Coturnix japonica: one gene and its partner. The protein of the gene in region 1 interacts with the protein of each later gene in a pairwise test. Links are inferred from orthologs where the notes say so. Each region holds a gene or a part of one and is shown on either strand. Other genes may lie near its edges.

What was found. The genes of interacting proteins can lie anywhere in the genome.
Region 2: the proteins of NAPB (region 1) and STX6 interact in binary tests that used the Homo sapiens proteins (3 or more experiments, as listed by UniProt). The two-hybrid records come from large-scale screens. The link is inferred for Coturnix japonica from reciprocal best matches to the Homo sapiens genes NAPB and STX6.

Annotation. Positions count from the first base shown.
Region 1 is NC_029518.1:4,483,835-4,493,523, forward strand, and holds the start of NAPB (beta-soluble NSF attachment protein), read right to left. Parts: upstream 5,437-9,689; 5' UTR 5,363-5,436; coding exon 5,265-5,362; intron 4,813-5,264; coding exon 4,733-4,812; intron 4,445-4,732; coding exon 4,328-4,444; intron 3,896-4,327; coding exon 3,849-3,895; intron 3,732-3,848; coding exon 3,654-3,731; intron 3,354-3,653; coding exon 3,298-3,353; intron 2,822-3,297; coding exon 2,737-2,821; intron 2,430-2,736; coding exon 2,325-2,429; intron 1,860-2,324; coding exon 1,791-1,859; intron 1,491-1,790; coding exon 1,440-1,490; intron 1,253-1,439; coding exon 1,148-1,252; 3' UTR 1-1,147. Other genes in the region: vinculin-like, read left to right, coding at 6,312-6,517, 6,588-6,771, 7,262-9,689. UniProt on the Homo sapiens protein: Required for vesicular transport between the endoplasmic reticulum and the Golgi apparatus.
Region 2 is NC_029523.1:5,886,086-5,895,774, forward strand, and holds the start of STX6 (syntaxin-6), read right to left. Parts: upstream 4,771-9,689; 5' UTR 4,714-4,770; coding exon 4,679-4,713; intron 2,528-4,678; coding exon 2,358-2,527; intron 1,788-2,357; coding exon 1,693-1,787; intron 278-1,692; coding exon 215-277; intron 1-214. UniProt on the Homo sapiens protein: SNARE promoting movement of transport vesicles to target membranes. Targets endosomes to the trans-Golgi network, and may therefore function in retrograde trafficking.

The DNA of each region.
Region 1 (9,689 bases):
CTCCATTCTTAGTGTCTCACTCCACTGCAGAGAAATGCCAAGTGACAACTGCTGACAGATTGCATAGGCTCACAGGTCTGCCAGTCTATACGCTGGACTGTAGGTAGCTTCATCAGTGCTAGTCAAACAACGCGTTGCACAGAGGAGCTTTGGTTGCAGCCATTTGAAAACACATCTCTAAAACGACAAGGAGAATTTCTAAAGCGCCTACATCTCTTCAGAGCACGCTCCATCCATCTGTTACCCAAACACCTAATAAGACAAGGGTCCTGCTCAGTGCCAAGCCTCCGCCAACACCTCTGCACGTCACAACAACGAGGCAGCTGAGTCAACAGCAAAAGGGACTGAAGCTAAGGGGCAGTGCCTGGCACACACAAAAGACCTGCAGGAGACAGCAACGGGAGCTGATTTAAATGAGAAGTTAGAAAAATATATTATTACGTGGGTCAAGTCATCGTAGGGTAGCAGGGTCAGGGGCTGTGCCACAGAACAAAGTGGAAAAATAGATCCAAGAAAATAGAGAAGAGCCTTACACTTTATATTTAGATCTTAAATACAAAATACACGGTTAACTAGGTCTGCTCTCCTGCCCTCTGATGTGCGATGCTTCCAGCACACGTGTATCTGTGTCTAGGAGTCACAAAGCTGTTCACTAGCACCATTTAAAAAGCTCAATCGTTAAAAAAACAAAACAAAACAACCACAAGATTCAAGTGTATCTGGCAGAGGTTCATTTAAAAACAGGAAACAATGATACAGCAGCAGATCAGCATCTACTATTTGTACTGCACTGGCACAAAAATGTACATGCTCAATTCAATGGTATTGAACCTTAAGACGGAACAGGAAGGGAAAAAAGGAGTTCTAAGTGCAAACTTCAGGGTGATCAATAACAAAAAAACACAAAGATTTCTGCCAGAGGTGTTCCTTTCACCTTAGAAAAACCTGCCAGTGATAACCCAGAGCACGGCTTCTCAACTACCCACGTTGCCACAACAAAGAGCAGGGTACTAAAGAAACACACAGTCATTGGGACTTAGAAGCAACAAAATTAAGCTAGATATTTTATCACGTATCCTGGAGTGGTCCTTGGCTGTAACACGAGAACAAATGACTTAGGCTGCATGCCACAAACACCACGAATAATTCACTTCAGGTCGCCGTCCCCTTCTCCTTGAATTGACTTCTTGATGCGAAGCAACATGGTTGTGAGCCACTGATCCAACCGCGATATCGAATCGAACTCTTTAACCTATTAAAGGGAAAGAGAAAAGCAGTCGGAAAGCAGCCGCAAAAACAAGCACCGTGCATCTCTTGAAGTGTAATCTTTTAAACCTTCAGCTCTTCCCGAGGTAGAAAAGAGCTCTGTTAAACAAGAGAAAAAGGGAGGCCGCCTCAAAGAGCCCCAGATAGAAACACAGAGATTGGTGGGTACTTACTGCCTCGGTGTACGCCTCGGAGTTCTGCTCCTCGTGGGCTTCCAGCAGTTTCTAGGAGAACACCATGACAAGTCAGACAATACTGCAAGTCCCTCCATGAGGGGGGACCTTTGCAACCTACCAACTCCCCACCACAAACACAAACCCAGGTTTGTTCAAGTTAACCACAATAATCATCTTTCTGCTGCTGCTACTCCCACCCGCCTGGTCTGAATCCAACACAGAACGAGTCTGATGTCCCTTAAGGCGTTTTGAAAAGAAGGCCAAACCCGTGGCAAGGCGAAAAAAAGCACAAAGGGCAGTTTACAGTTCTAAATGTGAGCATGTTATTTTAATGCTGTCTTTACTTACTTTCAATAGCTTGCACTCCCGTGAATCTGTAAAGGCTGGGAACATTTCTTCGTATTTCTCAAGCGCCAGCTGAAAGAGAGAAGCACACCCTCAGGCTCTTTTCACACACAGTTCCTCACTTCTTATTTCACTTTTTTCTCTTCTGGTCCTAAAACCACACAGAAATCATTCAGAGCAAACCCAACAAGAACAGGAAAGGAAGAGGCAGGGTCAGATCTGGCCTCAATCTGCTCAGAGCCGTGGCCCAATATATCACTCAGCAAGAACCAAACAGACACAGCCAGAGCACAGGCTGGGAAGGAAGCAGAAAACTCTGCACTGGACACTGCAGTAGCACGTGCCCTGATTTACCCCTGAGCATCACTCTGGATGTGCTGCAGTTCACCCTCCATCCTGCTTATGCTGGAGTCTGGTAGCGATTCAGCTATCAGCAGGTGACAGCACCAGCTACAAGCCCCTATAAAAGCCTGCAGAAACACCTCCCTGGTCAGCATGGCTGCAGGAGGTTGGGGCAGCCACTCTGAGCCCACTGACCTTAGCGTTCAGCTCATCCACAATGAAGTGACACAGAGCAGCTTTGAAGAAATACTCCTTTGCGCTGTACTTCAGCAAAGGATTATCCATCGTGTTTGTTCCGACCTGGGCATAAAAAGGAATTATTGGAGCTGGGAAAGAAACGTGCATCAGTAGGAACTGAATTACAAGCACGACACCTGATTAAAACCGCACAGAGTACCACCCAAGCGTCTGCAAATAAAAGCCATGACAAATGCCAGTGTCTGTGCAAACAGTTATGGGGCAGCCAGACAGCTTTAGGGGGAGACACCGAAGAGGAAAACCCATCCCCACCTTCAGATTTCTTTAAGTGAGGCCCAACAGGGCAACCCAGCGCCCAGCCCAGGCGGTGTTGCCTGCAGGCACAGAAGGACAGGCTGCCCCACCTCACCTGCTCATAGATTTCTATCGCCTTCTGGTACTGCTCCAGCTGCGCAGCGTAGGCAGCCACCTTCAGCAGACATTTGTTGGCTGAGCTGCAATCCATACCAGAAAATAAGTGAGGAAGGAGAGCATCCATGCCACCTGCAAGCACCTGCATGCATCCCAGCCTCCGCCTGCTGCCTAAAAAGGCAGAACCCACGAGCTACAAAGTAGGTGACTAACAAACACCCAGGGAAAAGCACAAAGACCTCACAGCCCGACCAGATGTCAGACATCGCTCATCTCTTTGTGCTTTCTATGCACCTAGAACAGGCACACCAACCAAGATGAGTCTGCTTGCAGCATAAGAACCCTGCACAGAAATGTAAGCATCCTTTAGAAACCCAACTGGCATGACGCACGGGCACCTGCTAGGCTTAAAATAATCACGTAGGATTTGGGCATCCTACCAAAGGATGTTTTAGAAGAGCCTGTTGGGTGAGGAGTATGAGGATGTATGCAATCTAGGGCAAGTCCCCATTTCCAACCCTTCCCTGCTAGAAGGAACCACTTCCCAAAGCCCACTTGCCTGTTGGACTCTTCTCCTTTGTAATAGTCCGCAGCCTGCTCGTAGTGCGCAATCGCCTGGGGACAGAAACATTATGCTTGAACACTGCTTCTGCAGCGGGGGTTTGGGTTAGATCAGTGCACAGTGACCATGCTCACAAAAGCTTTTCCGCTCTGCAGATGAAAGGAGTGAGATGACGACACGCTGTGGGGCTGTGGGTCAAGAGGGGCACCCAGCAAACTCAAAACGCGATGCTGCCCTTGAACGTTCACCCACATGCTTGTTAACAGCCCCAGACTCCAAAGCATGTTTAATAAAGGTGATGCTTCGGGATCTCAGTGCCCTACAGCAGCAAACACAGGGTCTGGCACTCTTACCTTCTCGATGTCAACCAGCTCGGCCTCATAGATCTCTGCAATGGTGATGTGGTGTTTGGCTGCGATGGTGAACCGCCCCTGGGGAGGACAGAAGTGCTGTGAGAGGAGGTTCCTCCCCGCCTGGCGCACAGTCATAACGTGGGCACAGTGACCGTGCCTTGGACACACAGCTCAGCCCCAACCCCAGCCTCTTACCATGTCGGTGTAGATATCGATAGCTGCATTTAAGCAGTTGATGGCCTCTGCAGCATGTGTGTTCAGAAAAACAACACAAAGTCAGCTGGCACACCAGAGCGCCCATTTTAAGACTTTCCCCCCAAAAAACAACTTGAGAGATGTGGAACATCTGGGGGCACACCTGGATGTCTATGGGGCTGAAGACCCTGAGCCCTCAGCTTCAGGGGAATCTCACCCACTGAGCCCACCTCAACCATCCCACAGCAGCCCCGACACCAGGCGGTGACACAACCATCAGGACGAGCCACGTCCAGCCAACAGAAAGCATCTCTCTCATGCCGGAGAGATGGCACAAGGAAGAAATGGCAGTAATCCCCAGCAGGCTGCATAGAGGCTCTCCAGGCACACGGACCAGCTGACTCTGAAAGCCGTGGCGCTGCGCTCCTATGCTGCTAAGAAGATTTGCACTAAACAATCCCGGATTTGATCCCCTGTACCTTGTGGGTCTGCTTTTTTGTAGGCGTTCCCAGCGTCCACAAAGCTGGTGGCCGAGTCGTGCTTGCTTTGCAGCTGCATGTGCAGCTTGGCTGCTTGGCAGAAGGCGTTCCCTGCAGCTGGAATAGAAGCACAGCACCGAGTGTACCCCACAGAGAGAACAGAACTGCAGGGAAACAGCCGCCAACCACCCGGCACCAGGAAAGCTTCAGAGTTTCAACAGCCCCAAAGGCATTTCCAACCCAGGTCAGCACAGCGATGCTGGGCTCCGTGCAAACCTCCTCCCACAACATCAGCACCCCGAGGGCTGCTATAGCTCCAGTTTAGCGTGGTAAGCTGTCCCCAGACGGACCCATTTAACAGCACAAATACTCGGTCCTGCCCCCCCTCCCCCAGGCCGCACTCACCGCTCCAATTTTTGGCAATCTTGAACATGTTTGCAGCCCTGGTGTACATCTCACAGGCCTCCTCCACTCTGGTGTTACCCCTGGACGAGAGCAGGAGAGAGCATCAAGCCTCTTTTGCCTCTTTGCAGGCGGGTTTCAGTGCCTGCACAGCGCTGCTCACAGCACCCTGCGGGCACCGCGGCTCCCACCCTCCGCTCCCCGTGTCGTGCCAGCAATTATTCAGCAAAACACAGCCGGCCTTTGCCATGCGGACACATCCACAGCCGCCCACCCAGCACAGCATCTGCGTGCACCGAGCCGCCACCCCCTGCTCTGCTTATGGGGCGGGGGTGTCGTCCGGGCCGTGCAATCCCCCTTATGCACCCCCCTGCACGCCGATCACCCCACCTCCGCAATTTCCCCCTTTTTGCATCCCCTCCCCATCGCATCTCCCTTTCGCAACCCCCACCTCCCCGCACCGCACCACCCCGTTATTTCGCAGCCCCCTTTTCCTCTTGCAACCTCTCCCCCTCCCCATCCCAGATTCGCTCACCCGAAGAGCCCCCGCAGGAAGGAGTGCGAGCCCTTCACCCGCTTCTCGGCCTCGGCCATCAGCTGCACGGCCTCCCGCTCCTTCCCCGAGTTGTCCATCGCGGCAGCGCTCGGCCAGGCCCGGAGCCGCCTCCTCTTCCTCCTCTTCCTCCTCCTCCTCTTCCTCCTCCGGGAGCGCGCACGGAGGCGGAGCACGGTGCGCAGCGCACGATGCGTGCACGCAGCGCACGGCCTCGGGCTGCACAAGAACACAGAAGGGTCTCCCTGCGGCTGCTCTCCATCAGTGAACGTGCACAGGAAAAGCCAGGAGAAGAGGCAATCAGTTTGCCCATTTCCTGTCCCGTTCCTCAAAGTAGAGATGAATTCCTTCTTCTTGGCAAAGCAGTTTGGCACCAGCATCCCTGTTGTGCGCTGGATGCCAGCGCCATCGCTGCAGTGTGCTTGGCCAAGATGTGCTGGGCTGCACACAAACATGGCAACACACGGGCTGGGTGATGCAGGGCGGGTTGGAGCTGCCAAGTGGGTCTCACCTATTGCCAAAAGGAGCCACATCTGCTGCTTACAAAGTGAGAAAGCCCACAGGGGAAGCCTGGCTGTGTGCTGCCCCTGGGCTGCAGCTCCTGGTCCTGTCCTTCAGACCTGTGCTTTTCAAAGCATCCGCAAAGGGAATTAATCATTAAGTTGCCCACGTGGTTTTGGATCGCTGCCCCAGAGCTCTCTGCAGGTGCAGAACTCAATACCAGGGAAGGTGATCGCTGTGCGGCCCAGGCTCACATAACACCAGCTGCAGTGGGAGCTGCTAAGAGCTGAGCTGTCAGCACTGCGGCACCTCGATGGGACGCACACACGGGCTCCACTTACAGCAGGGCTGGGAAGCTCTGGGTCACTCACAGCACACCTTCCCTCCTGCAGGTTGGTGCTGCACTCAACGCTCCAATGGCCTCCAGGGTTTCCTCCAGCCCAAGATTGCTGCTGAAACGGATCACACGTTGTGAAGGATCCCAAACCATTCCAGGTTTTATTTCCCTTCTTTTCCAGGCAGGACACAATGGAGCCTTTTTATCTCTATGATCTTGGAATACAGACAGAAAACAAAGCTATCCAGAGGATCCTTTGCCCCATGGCCGCAGAGCTCTGTCATCTAATCCTCGCCCTGGAACAGGAAGATGGGATGTGTCAGACCTTACCCAATATAGAGGAGAATGCAGAAAGATTAGCCAAAGCCACTGATGAACTCGCTTCTGCTGCAAGAAGGTAATTTTGCTGGCCGATGGGTGGTACTTATGGAATGGGGACATGCTGAGCTCTGAGGCTTTTCTTCCAGATTGGCCGAGCAATCCAGTGACAAGGTATACCAGGAGGAGACACAACTCACAGCCCAGTCCCTCATGATGGCAGGGAGGCACGTGCTGCAGGCAGCCCAACAGCTGCAGGGACAGCCGGACAGCCACAGCCACAGGGAGGTGCTGGCTGCAGCAGCAAAGGGCGTCCTCACTGAGACCGTGAAGGTAATGCCGGAGGGGATGGTGCTGGTGGGGAGGGTGAAGCTGGAGGAGGGATGAGATGGCTGGGACCAGCTGCGGGAGCTCTAGTTGGAGCAACAGTTGTTTCTTCAATAGGGTGAGAGTGGATGGCCTCATGTTGTGCCCGGTTGTAATTCACGGTGGGTATCAGGAACAATTCCTTCTCCACAGAGCGGTGATGCAGTGGCACAGCTGCACAGGAGTGGTGGGGTCACCGTCCATGGAGGTGTCCCAGAGCCGTGGGGATGTGGCACTGAGGGACGTGGGCAGTGGGCACGGTGGGGTTGGACTGGATGATTCTGCTGGTCTCATCCAACCTTGATAATGCCAGGACTCCCTATGTGCTCACTAGGGCAGGCCTGCTGGGCACTACACACCTCTTTTCTTCCCAGCTGCAGATACAGTATCATTTCCAGAGGGATGCAACAGTGATGCATAACCTTATCCACGCTGCCTTTGCTTTCTGCTGCACTAGATCCTTCGGATCGAAGGTGCTGCTGGGACAAGGAGGATAACGCAGGCTGCCAGCTGGCTGCTGGAGTGCCTGGGCACGCTGCGGGATACGGGGGATGTGCCAGGACTGCTGGGTGCTTTCCAGGACTTCTCCAAGGCCTTTCTTCTGCTGAGCAATCTGACAGCACAGCACCTCCAGGAACTCCAAGACTCTCCTCGACGGACCCGCTTGGCCCAGACTTTGCAGCTCCTTCAGGAGTGCGTTCCTCTGATCCATGAATCCAAGCACCGCCACCTTCAGTGCTCCTGGCCTCAACGAGTCAACTGCTCCAAAAACTATGCCTTCCAGCTGATGGAGAGGACCATCCAAGAGCTTGTTTCTTTGCTTGTCAACAGCAAGGGCAGCAATGAGCTTCAGGACAGACACGGGACCTTCTCCCATCATGTGCAAAGGCTGCTGGCTCTCCTCTACCACCCAGACCCAGTTCACCTCTCTGACAGCGAGTTCAGCGCTCACGTGGAAGCAGTAGTTTTCTACTGCATGCTTCTAGCAGAGATGTGCAGGGCAGATCTAAAGCAGGATCTGGTAAAACGTTGCTGGGTTCTCCTACAGCTCAGAAAGAGCATTTGCTGCCACGTAAGTCAGCAGGAGGGACGGACAAGGCCAAGCTGGGGAGAAAGCAGCCTGCAGGAGGAATGTCACACCATGAGAAAGGAGGTGAAGGACCTTGACCAGGCTGTGCTCAAAGCTACTCTGCATGAAATCCTCAATGCCTTCTCTGAGGCTAAGGAGCCCCTGAGGCAGTTAGTAGAGGAAGCTCTTACCCATGCAAATACAGGGTATTTTCCAGCAGAGCAGGGAGGATTACTGAAGAAGCTTCAGCCCCTCACTGCCACCTTCTTCACACATGCCCAGCAGGTGCTCAGAGTGACAGACTTTGTCCTGGGCAGGTGCACCAAACCTCAAACTGCTACAGAAATCCACGACTGCATAGAGCACTTGAAGAGCCTCCTTGCCAGTCTCCCTCCGGTGCTCACAGAAATGAGCAGAAATCCAACCCACGCGAGCACTGCTCAGCAGCTGCAGTCCTTGTACCACGCATGGGCCAGGACAACAGAAAACCTCTTGCAGTGTTTTGAGGACACAATCAGCATGCATGAGTTCATGAAGGTGTCCATCCAGGAAATGGCCAAGCACAAGGAATGGTGTGACAAGGCCCTACAACATCAGGACCCCGAAAGGCTCTCTAGGCATGCTGCTGTCCTCACCAGTTGGGCTCGGTGGGTCACTGAAGCTGCTGTCAGGTATGTGGATAGAGCAACAGACCCCATCTTCAGGAACGGCCTGCTGGTTTGGGTTGAGCAGCTGGCCAAGTCCATTCTTGAGCTGAAAGCAGCCATGGCCCTTTGTGCGGAGAAATGCTCCTGCCTTCAAACTAGGGCTGTCTTTTCAAAGACAGTGAGCTCCCTGATGGATGCTGCTCACTGCATTCAGGATGGGCTGGATGGATCCAACCACCCAGATATCCTCAGCCCTCTGCGGGAACAAGTACGGGGTGCTGATGTTACGAAGGAGCTTGAACTCAACTCATCCTATGCTGGGTTAAAAAACATTACCAGCCAAACTAAACTGCAAGAAGATACCTTAAGTAATCCGTCCCCACAAGCAGGTAACTCACACCCAGATGTTGTTCCAAGGAAAGGAGAAATTCACCCTGTCATTACAGCACTCCTAGCAGCAACAAGAGCCCATGATACAGCAGCTGTGAATGCTGCCTGCTCTGCCTTGCTCGAAGTCTCTACCTGCTGTATTGATGCAGCAAAGGAAGCACTGCCTATTGCTTCCTCTCCCCTAATGGAGATGCTGGGGCAGTACCAGAAGATTATCTTACTGACACCATGTGTTATTAGCTTGGCCAGGGAAACAGCCCCAGGGCAGCTCCAGCATCAAGACAGACTTCTCCAAACTGCACTTTCCCTTTCAGAAACCATCCGTGAGACCAAAGAGTGCCTGGCAGCCCTGGCAGGCTCTTGGTACAGTCTGTCTCAACAAGTGCTTGGTTTTATCTTGGCCGCTGACTTTATGAGCAGCAAACAAGCTTTGGATGAGACCATGATGGGTTTAGCAGGAGCGGTTCAGATAGCAGAGGACATTGCAAGCATGGCCTGTAGTAAACAGAATCCCATTTGTCCTGGTGTCTGGGAAAACTTTCTACAGGTCCAAGCCAAATTTTCACATGCTCAGATGAACACCAAAGTGTTACTTGAGAAAGCAATGTCCTTTGAGGGCTCCTGCAAGCTGGGAGAGGCCAGGCTGGAGCTGCACTGTGTCCACTGGGCCATCAGCATGCATGTGCTCCTGGGTGCTGTGGATCAGTTCATAGGCAGAGACATCCTGTTCCTGAGGGAGCTAAGAAGTGCCATGGAGAACAAGCTTTGTCCGCAGAGCC
Region 2 (9,689 bases), on another chromosome or scaffold:
GCTACAAAATGGGATATATATGGTACTTACAGCTTTAAAGGAGCTTTAACCATGCTAGATGCTCTGCCTTATGGTGCGGGTGTCCAAACTAAGTGATACGAAAGCTTCACCTAACACGTCTCAAAACAGCTGTTAAAACTGATAAATCCTTCGAGCTCTTTAAAGTACCAAATAACCACTGCGTTCACTTAGCTTGCCCACTTCTGATTCTCACCTGCCTGTTTTTTCTTTCAGCCAGTGCTTGCATGGAGGAATTTGACATCTGATCCTTCATTTCCTGTTTGTTCAAAGAAAGAAGAAGGACGTAAGCATTGGATTTGAGGTGACTTTCAGCTTCAGTTTGCTACCAAGTTGTCTATACCCAGAAAGATTTCTTTGTGGGGAGGGAGGGAAGGGTCTGTGGAAAAAATGCTCTTAAAAGCTCCACTGCAATTCATTGCTATTCAATACTAGAATCAACAGCAATGGGATATTTTGAAAATATCCCTTACTTACTACTCATTTTTATAGAATCAGATAATCATTTGGGTTGGAAGGGACCTTTATAGGTCATTAAGTCCCACTACCCTGCAGTGAAGAGGGACATCTACAGCTAGATTAAACTGCTCAGCCAGAAACACTTTGATTTGTATAATACCAGCTTAATGTTCCCAGTGACAGACGGTAAAGAAGATACGTTCTTGAAGGTCTTGGGAGCCCGTAGCCTGCATTTCATTCCCAGTTGTATCTGATTTAATCTTGCAAAGGACAAGATAGATTTCCTGTCCTGTGGCCCTCCTCTCTGACTGTCTCTCCTACAGAAGACAGCCACAGGAGGCTCCTACTTCCAGTGCAAACCAGTTCAGTTTCTATAGGGCAGATATGCAAGAAGCCAATATGATCCAGCAGGTGCTGATTCACTTTACCCACCAGCAGAGTTCTGATGTCACCAGAAGACACGTAGGTATGTTTTACTGCTCAGAGATGTATCACTTACAAGCAGCAGATCCCACCTGGTTACTTTTAATGCACAAGCTGCTTTCTATCACAAACTCTCTCCATGGAAAACCTAAGTCAAATAACTGCATGCTGGGGCTGCTGGGGCTTCAGGATCAGTTCCCAGGCAGCGAGCCTTAAGAACTGCCTCTGGACTGCAGGTAGGATGACAAGCTTGCTGCTAGCCACAGCAATGCAGCTTGTCAAGGAGGAACATCTGAGCCATGAGGGAAAGCAGAAATTAAGCTGCACTGAGCGTAGCAATTAATAGAGAGAAAACTTCCTAACCAGTGTGTAAGCAGACAGTGAAGATTTCAGAGAGACTTTTATTCTCTATTTATTACCACCGAGCTGTTAAAATATTCTTCCTGCTTCTGAATCCTCTCTAACAGCTATGTGAATAAATGCTGCTGCTCTTGCAGGTGCTACTGAACTTGAGTTTAATGCTGGCTGTAGCACTGAGTTGTGTGAAGCTGCGGCCCAACAAGCAGAGCTTTGCCAGGCCCACCTTTCTGTGAAGTACTGATATTTAAGAGTGTGAGCTTAAAGTCAGGCAGTCCTCGGTGGGAACATGTGATGTGGGGATGAGGAGGCAGCCTGAGGACAGGCAGGTAGGAGACTTACTCTCTGCTCTCCTGTTCAGCACTGACCTAGTCACCCTACTGGCTTTTTTTAACCACTCAAGCTGCCTTCTCTTTCCCCATCCTTGCTTCTTACCCTGACCACCTGCCGCGTGCTGGTGATGAAGGATTTTCTGATACCCAGCTCCGTGGCATCCAGGTTGAACTTCCGAGGGTTTGCCTCAACAATGCGTAGGAGAGGAGTTAAGGAGTCTGTGAGTGACATTCAGTGCACACAGACAGACAAACAGCCCCAACGGGAACCCACAAAGAGGCAGTTTTCCACTGTGCTGCACCTTCTCCTATAATGTGATTAGTAAAATACTAGATGTTGGAGGAATGAAAGCATGGCAGCAACATACAACACAATGCATGCACCAGAATGAGGTTTCTCTCCTGCTTTTTTTACAGCTCCCCAGTGCTGTGCAGTACTTTGAGCTGAACACGAGGGAAAAGGAATAGTTTTGGAAGCCAGCCTGCAGTATGAGTGACTACACAGAAATCCAAACTCATACAACACAACAGGCTTCTGAGAACAAAGCGTCTTATAATATACCTTGTCAAAGGGAAGACAAAAGGCAGAGGGAAATTCTTTTGCTGAACTCGTTTGCTGTTTGAGAAAAGCTGAGGTAAATGCAAAATTCAATCCCTGACTGTCCTGGTTGATGCAAAAATTAACTACCAGCGAGAGCTGGGACGTAGCTACTTATTACAGCTTGGGAACTGCGTGTCCCAACCTCCAAAGAACTCCAGAAAGGATATTAATTGTTTCATCCAAGTCTTCCAGGTCCCACTCGATGCTCCGCAGATTGTTCCTGAGCTCATTAGTGGTCCAGTCGATTTCTTCTCTTGTGGCAATGGAGGGATCCTGCAAGAGCTCTGTCCACCTCTGGAAGAGCCCCTGGGCAGTGTTCACAGCTTTCTGCACTTCCCTGAGGTTGGAGTGAAGAAAGAGAAGTGAAGGAACCACATCAGCTGTTCTGCAGCAGTCATGCTGGGACACGCCATGCCCAGAAGAGCTTGGAACTGCAGCCTCCCTGCAAGCACCTTTCCTTCTAGTTCATTTTGTGCAATAAGGATTCGCCATACCCACTGAACAACCCAGTCTCCTCTCCTGTTGAAGCACAAAGGGACAAGGAACAACTTATAGGTCGGCTACCACAATTAACAAGAAGACCAATTGCATCAGGAGTAGTTTCTGCTGAGTGACACAGAGGTGAGACAGTGCAGTGTGAGCGGCTGGACAAGACTGCCCTCATGGCAATTAATGTGCTGCATTCCTCTAAAGACTACCTAAGTGAGATACCCCAAGGATGAATGATGTTTATAGGAACTGTCCACACAGTGGTCAGGCAGACTGTTGTGTCCAGCACTGTTTATCTTAAGTTAGCATTAAAAAACTACACAGCTCTACTACACTGGCTTAGGGAACAGAAGTCTTTTCTGCTGCTCTAAGCTTTTTGGAGACGAGTGTATTCACAACATGGGAACACAGGCTTTGCTGACAGCACTGAATGCTGCTTTTGCGATCAGGGGCGAGCAGCAGGTAGCAATTCTCTGTGCCTACAGACACTGCAGCCCTGACCTGGGAACAAATCTCTCATGTCCAGGATGAGAGATGCAGACGATGTTGTGCTGGTGTGTCAGCCAGCAGAAAGTCAGCATCCACGTAAGACGCAGGGATTTATCTCCAGCAAAGGAAAGCAGTTTATCTGTTGGGAAAGCCCAGAAGGGATGAACCACGTCTGCAGCCGGCAGCAGCCATGTCAATGGCTGTCATGTCTCAAGCCCTAAGGTCAGCAGCTCTGCTCTGTTCTCTCTGCTGCTTGCAAGCAAAAGTTCTGGTTTATTTCACCTGTGTGTACTTGGAAAAGCACCTACCAGCAGGGATTCAAAGCTGGACACCCTAACAGGAGGAGTTACAAGCACCAGGGAAGCAAACTGAATGCCATGTGGCTGGGCTCAACTCCTTCCACTGTAATCTGCTGGCTAATAATTAACACCAGGAACAACACAACATCTCTCTCCCCTCCCAGCCCTTCCCCTTATGGCGCGGGAAACCCTCTGGAAAGTCTGACCGGCTGTTTGCTTCCCACCCACAACGATTAGCATTTGTTCCCCCCAGCATCAGCTTAGCTTGGCAGCAATCCCCTTCTGCTGGCTGCCCTGCAGCCTTTCCCACACCTCCTGTGCTCACCTGGCTTTTCCCACTGCCCTTCCTGAGCACTGTGCCACTGCTACGTGGAGCAGGATAGCAACAGCAGGAGTTGAAAGTGGCTGCACGCTGAATTTTGGAAGCTAAGCTTCTTTCCCCCCCCCCTATTAATTCCAGTTTCCCTTTCCTCTGACCTCAACTGCCTTTGTTTTGTGTTTGTCTTTGTTCAGGCTTTCCTCAGTGCCACTATCCATGTGTGTTTCTTCCTCAGATCATCTCTCAGCATGGTCACTATGCTCTGGTGCTCTGGGGATACCCTCGGTGAGAAGCAGCTTTGCATCCAGCCATGCTCTGCCCACTGCACGGTGACATGTCCAACCTCACATCCCACGTGCTGCTGATCGATGATAAGGACAGCTGGGAATGGCTTTGGGGGTGACAGTGGGGGCAGAACCCTCACAGAACTGTCAAGATCCCTGCTGGCCCCTCACAGCCCCCCAGATCCCTGCTGGTCCCTCACAGCCCTCCTCCCCAGATCCTTGCTGACCCCTCACAGACCCCCAGATCCCTGCTGACCCATCAGATCCATGCTGACCTCTCAGCCCCCCCAGGTCCCTACTGACCCCCCAGATCCCTGCTGGCCCCTCACCACCCCCAGCCCCACACCCCCCCATTTCACACCTCCCCTCAGAATCCCCCACCCCACACTCTTCTCCCCACACCTCTCACCCTCATCCATCCCCTTCCCAGCCCATTCCCTCCCCCTCAAGGCCTCCCTATTACCCCAGCACTCATTCTCCTCCTCACAGCCCCCACCCCCCACATTCCCCCTCGCATCCCTAGCTCCCTCCTCTCCCTCCCCCCTCACAGACCCCTCCAGCTCCCCAACCCTCACCTTTCCTCTCCCACACCCAACCCCATCCCTCACCCCTTCACCACGAAGAACGGATCCTCCATCGACATGATGGCGCCGACGCCGCCGAGCGCCCCGGCTGCCCAGCGCTCCGCCCTGCGCGCATGCGCGGCTGCCCGCTGCCAGCCGCCCGCCCCGTCCCGCCATGGCGTCGGCTGCGCCTCCCCTCAGCGCTGGGATGGGGCAGCCCGGCTGCCAACCCCTCCAGTGTCACTCTTTGTGTCGCTCAGTGCCGTATTTCCACTGCTCTGTAACACCTACAGTGTCCCCAGTACCTCCATGACACTCAAGATCAGTGAGTCCCGTGCCTCACTGCTCTTCTGGAGGGGGAATGTTCCTCATACCCAACCTGAACTTCTAGCACAACCTGATGCCATCCATCACCTCTCATCCTATCGCTGTTACCAGGAGCAGAGGCCGACCCCTCCTCACCACAGCCTCCTTTCAGGCTGTTATACAGAGCAATAAGATCTCCCTTGAGCTCCTCCACACCACCCCATCCCTCAGCTGCCCCCATCCCGCTGTGCCCCACACCCCCATGCTCAGGCCCAGCCTCCCTTAGCCAAGGCAGTGCTGCTTTGCTTATGGAAAACCCATTTGCAGAGATGCCTCCTCAGCATGGGAACCAGGTGAGTGGCTTTTGCAATCGCAGCACGCTTACTCACGAGTCAGGGGTGAGGACACACGTCGGACTGGTTTATGGGCATGGGAAAACACAGCGACTTGGGTGCATACAGCAGGAGGTGGCTGTATGCTGGGCTAAGACATGAACTTCATAGGGAGAATGAAGGCAGAAAGCTTTTCTTTGATGCTGGAAATGATGAATGGGGGTTTTCTTGCATAAGACTGCACTGCTGTTGTTTCACAGTAGGCTCATCTTGCTATCCAAGCTCAGGTTTTTGGCTTGGAAAGGCCAGGCAGCTTTTAGCTTTCCTCATGTTGGTGAGCATTAGCCAGCTGCAGAACTGGCCAGGGAGGATCTGATGAAACACTGGGAAGCTCCAGCTCATCACAATCCAACCTGCAAGAAAGCACAGGGCTCACGGAATGCTTTATCAGGAGAATTCCTATGGCATGTATGTACATGCACAGGGATGTGCTCAGCCTGCTGCTAACAAGGTGTATTTGATATAGTAGAGGTGGCTTTTCAATGGTGGTTGTGAGGGGAGGGTTAAGGCAGTGATAACTGGATGGGAAACATCAGTCTGTGGCTAAACAGTCATTGCTGTGGTGGGCTGCAAGGGTTTACATTGTGGTTTATAAAGAGGTTCCATGAGCATCGTGTTTAGAAACCTGCTGTGACTTAATTGAGAAGTGAGAAGTGAGAAGTGAGAAAGGGGCAGACAGCACTGAGCCTGTAAGGATGCTGGCCATGCTCAGGGCTTACCTGCAGCTAAAAAGGATTATTTATCTGGGTAATGAGGTGCTGGTTTGGCAAGACTTGATGGATTGGTGACAGGACTTAGACTGGCCCCATCTGTGGGGTGGATAGTGGGAGCTGCACTGTTATAGTGGGTCACAGAGGAGGTCTGGGGCACCCACGTGTGTGACCAGAGAATCCATTCCAGGCACTAATTAGAAGCAACTTTCTCTGGCCACCTCACCCCATCAACAGTCCTCATTATCCCCATGTCCACGGGTGGCTTTTGTACCCAAACTCCTTGTCACACAGTCAGCCCCGCAAGAGGGCAAGGTGGCAAAGGAAGGTCCTCACAAGAGGAAAGAGGCACAGACATTTCATGCTTTCTCTTCATTTTGGAGAGAGGGATTCAACACAAAGGGCTGAATGGGGCCCTGAGCAGCCTGATCTGGTGGGGGTCAACCAGCCCTTGGCAGGGGATGGGACTGGGTGGGCTTTGAGGTCCCTTCCAACCCAACCATTCTATGGTGCTGTGATTACATGATTCTACAATGCCGTGATTTGATGTTTCTGTGAGCTGCTCTGTCCTTGAATGCCACTCTGAGGATGCCTGGACGTGGTCCCTCACTGTTAGCTTGGAGCATGGCAGCGTGACACAAGTGTCATTGCCATCCAGCAGGAAGCTGTGGGACACAGGGCACATCTGTGCTCCACGACGTGCGCAGGGCTGCAGCCGGCACTTGCCTGCCAGCTAAAAGGAAGGTGACTTTGAGATGCAGGGAGAGAAAATAATTAGACTGTGACTCCTTTGGGCAGGCAGCCTACCCTACAGTCTGCAGGGCTGCGGCTTCGGCTGGCTCTGATGTGTGGATTTAACCCTGTGCTGGGCTGCAGGTGAACCCAGGCTCCTGTTTGGCACGGAGTGAGAGCATCCCTCAGGGCACAGAGCAAATCACCCAGTCGGCATCATGTGAGCAGCAGCCCAGTGCTGTGCTGGGCTTCTCCTGGGCACCAGGAGGACCAAAGGACCAGAGGAACAAAATACAGGAAGGTGGACTACAATAGAAGGGTTGTCTGATAGGAAACCCCGGACAAATAAATGTGTTCTTTCCCCAGGAAACCAAAGCCAATTTCATAAAGGACTGTAAGCTGTGGGGCCACCTTTTTCCAAGGGAAATGGCTGCCTGAAGGAGCTGATAACCATCTACATCCTTATCCAAACTCAGACAAGCTGTGGGTGCCCTAACTCTGGATGGATCCCTGTAAGGTCATGGATGGAGCCCTAGGTAGCCTGACTGGTAGGGGACAGCCATCCCACGGCAGGGTTGGGGCTCACTGATCTTTAAGGTCCCTTCCAACCTAAGCCTTTCTATGATCTCCCCGAATGGAAGAGGGGTTTTAACCTTGGAAAAACCCCTTTGCTTTCTAGTACGGTGCTGCGCTGTGTGAACGCGAGGCTGTGGTTTCCAGTGCAGGTACAGAGCACTCTCAGAAGCTGGGGGAGCCACTTCCCTTCCTTCAGCTTTAGGTCTGTGTTGCTTTCTTTGTTTCGCTTGCGTGTTGTGTTGGGTTGTCACCCAGCAGTGCTTAGTATTTGGGGATGTTCTCTCTGCCCTTGTCTTCAAACACAGATAACCCAGAGCAGATGGGAACCGGGGAGCATTACCTACCCATACCCAACAGCGGGAGGCTGAGACTGCATCTGTGTCAACCATTGATTTATCTAGGAGGGAAGAATCAACCCAAACGATGCTCAGCGTTAGATATCTCTTATCTCTGGCTACAAAACGAAGCCCTGTTTGGGAATGGTTGCTTCATCAGTGGAGCCTGGAGATGTCCTGGAGGTCCATTGTCACTTGGGGAAGCTCAGTACGAAGGGTTTTATCCCCTACCACGCTGCTGGTGTGAGAGTCTGTGTCCCAGGAGGAGCCCAACCCCCGAACCAAGAGAAGGGCGATGATGCACCGGGGAGGCTCCAGGATCCCGTGCTTGGAGGACACCTGGATGTCTCCGGGATCGCTCCCCATTCCTTCAGAGTATCTGCCCGGCTCACATGTGTTGACAAGGCGCAGTGCCGGCTGCCGGAGGGTCGGCGCCAGCTTGGAACAGGATCTGGGTAACCACATCCGCACTCGGCGACAGGTCGGGGGCCGCGCTGCGTGCCAGATGGCCCGGCCCGGCCCGGCGCTGATGGCAGCGGGACCCGAGAGCTGCCGGGACGTGACAAAGCGCCGTTCGCCTTATATTTCCGATAGCGCGAGGGAGGCGGACAGAGAGCTGATATGAGACGGCCATCGGGCCGTGGGCAGCCCGTGCCACGAGGCAGCAGCGCCAGCCCCCGAGCGAACTTCCCGGAGCTGATTGAATCGCCTATAAAAAAGCAGCCGTGTGCGCAGCCTCTGCGATTACGATGTTGTACCGCAAGCTGCTTCCTGTCCCGAGCCTCTTTTATCTCGCATTGTTTTCCTTTCCAGGTGGGGCTGCGGGCTCCCCGCCGCTCGGCCCCCCGGGTTTCCTGCTCGCTCCGAGCCACCTTTGTCTGCCGGCCCCGCTATTTCGGGAAACGGCAGCTGTGCCGAAGGGCTGCGAATTGTTTGTCAGCTCCTTTCCAGCCTGCCCAGATCACACGCGGACAGAGAAGCGGCCGGTCGCACCCTGCCCGCCCGGCTCCTGCCGGGGATGGATGGGGCGCTGCCCCTCGGCTGGGCCACGCACACGGGGACGCGGCACCTCCCCGCGTGGGAACGGGAGCAGCAGCGGCACGACGGGCGGACGGGTACAGACAGACAGACAACAAAGCCACCCCAAGGCGAGCGCTGACCTCAGAAGCTGCCATGTGACGCTGCCTCAAACTTACTAAGGCATGACATCAGCCTGGGAGGGAAAGCGGGGCTGCCACCAAAATACCGCCCGGCTTAAAAGGGCTGAGCTGGGCCGGACTTTCTGCAGCCACCCCCAGCCCTGCTTCTGTGGCATTGATTCTTACCGGGCTCAGCTGAGCACCAAGGGGCTCGTGTCCCACAGCACCCACAAAGAATCCCCGTTGTTTTCACACGCGGCTGGTCACAGAACCCAATGACAGCACCGAGGTGCCCCGGCCGGTCGGGCTGAGCACGGAGCAGGTCGGACAGGTTGGGATCGCTGAGGACAGCAGTGCTTGGTTCCCATCAGCAGGGTGGGAAGGAAAGCCCTGCTCTGCCCGGGGCTGTTCTCTGCAGCCCAGAGGCCGGTGCACTGGGGAGGGGGGTCTGAAGCCTTCTGAGAAGGGTCCCTGCTGGTTCTTTTCCACGCTCATTGAGTCCCAATGGGGACGGGCAGCCCCTGCACCTCACGTCCTGCCCTTCAATACCAAGTGAGGCTCTTGTTTTGGGTGAGAAAGGGAGAAGTGGGAAGTGCCGTCACATGGCAGACAGGAAGGCAGCAGGCTGAAAGCGATACCCTGGGCTGTCCTTTCACTTCTGCCCTCGCCCTCTTGCCCCCATTGCTTCCTGGAGCTGGGCTGGGGATAGAGGCAAGAATCAAATCCAAATTCACAACCTGGACAAAGTGAATCCAACCCCAACGTATTTCATGTATTCTACATAAAATGGAGAATAAACCCATCAAAGACAGCTGCCCCTTGTGTACTGTAAGGTACAAAGGGATGAAAGCTTCTCAAAGCGCTTT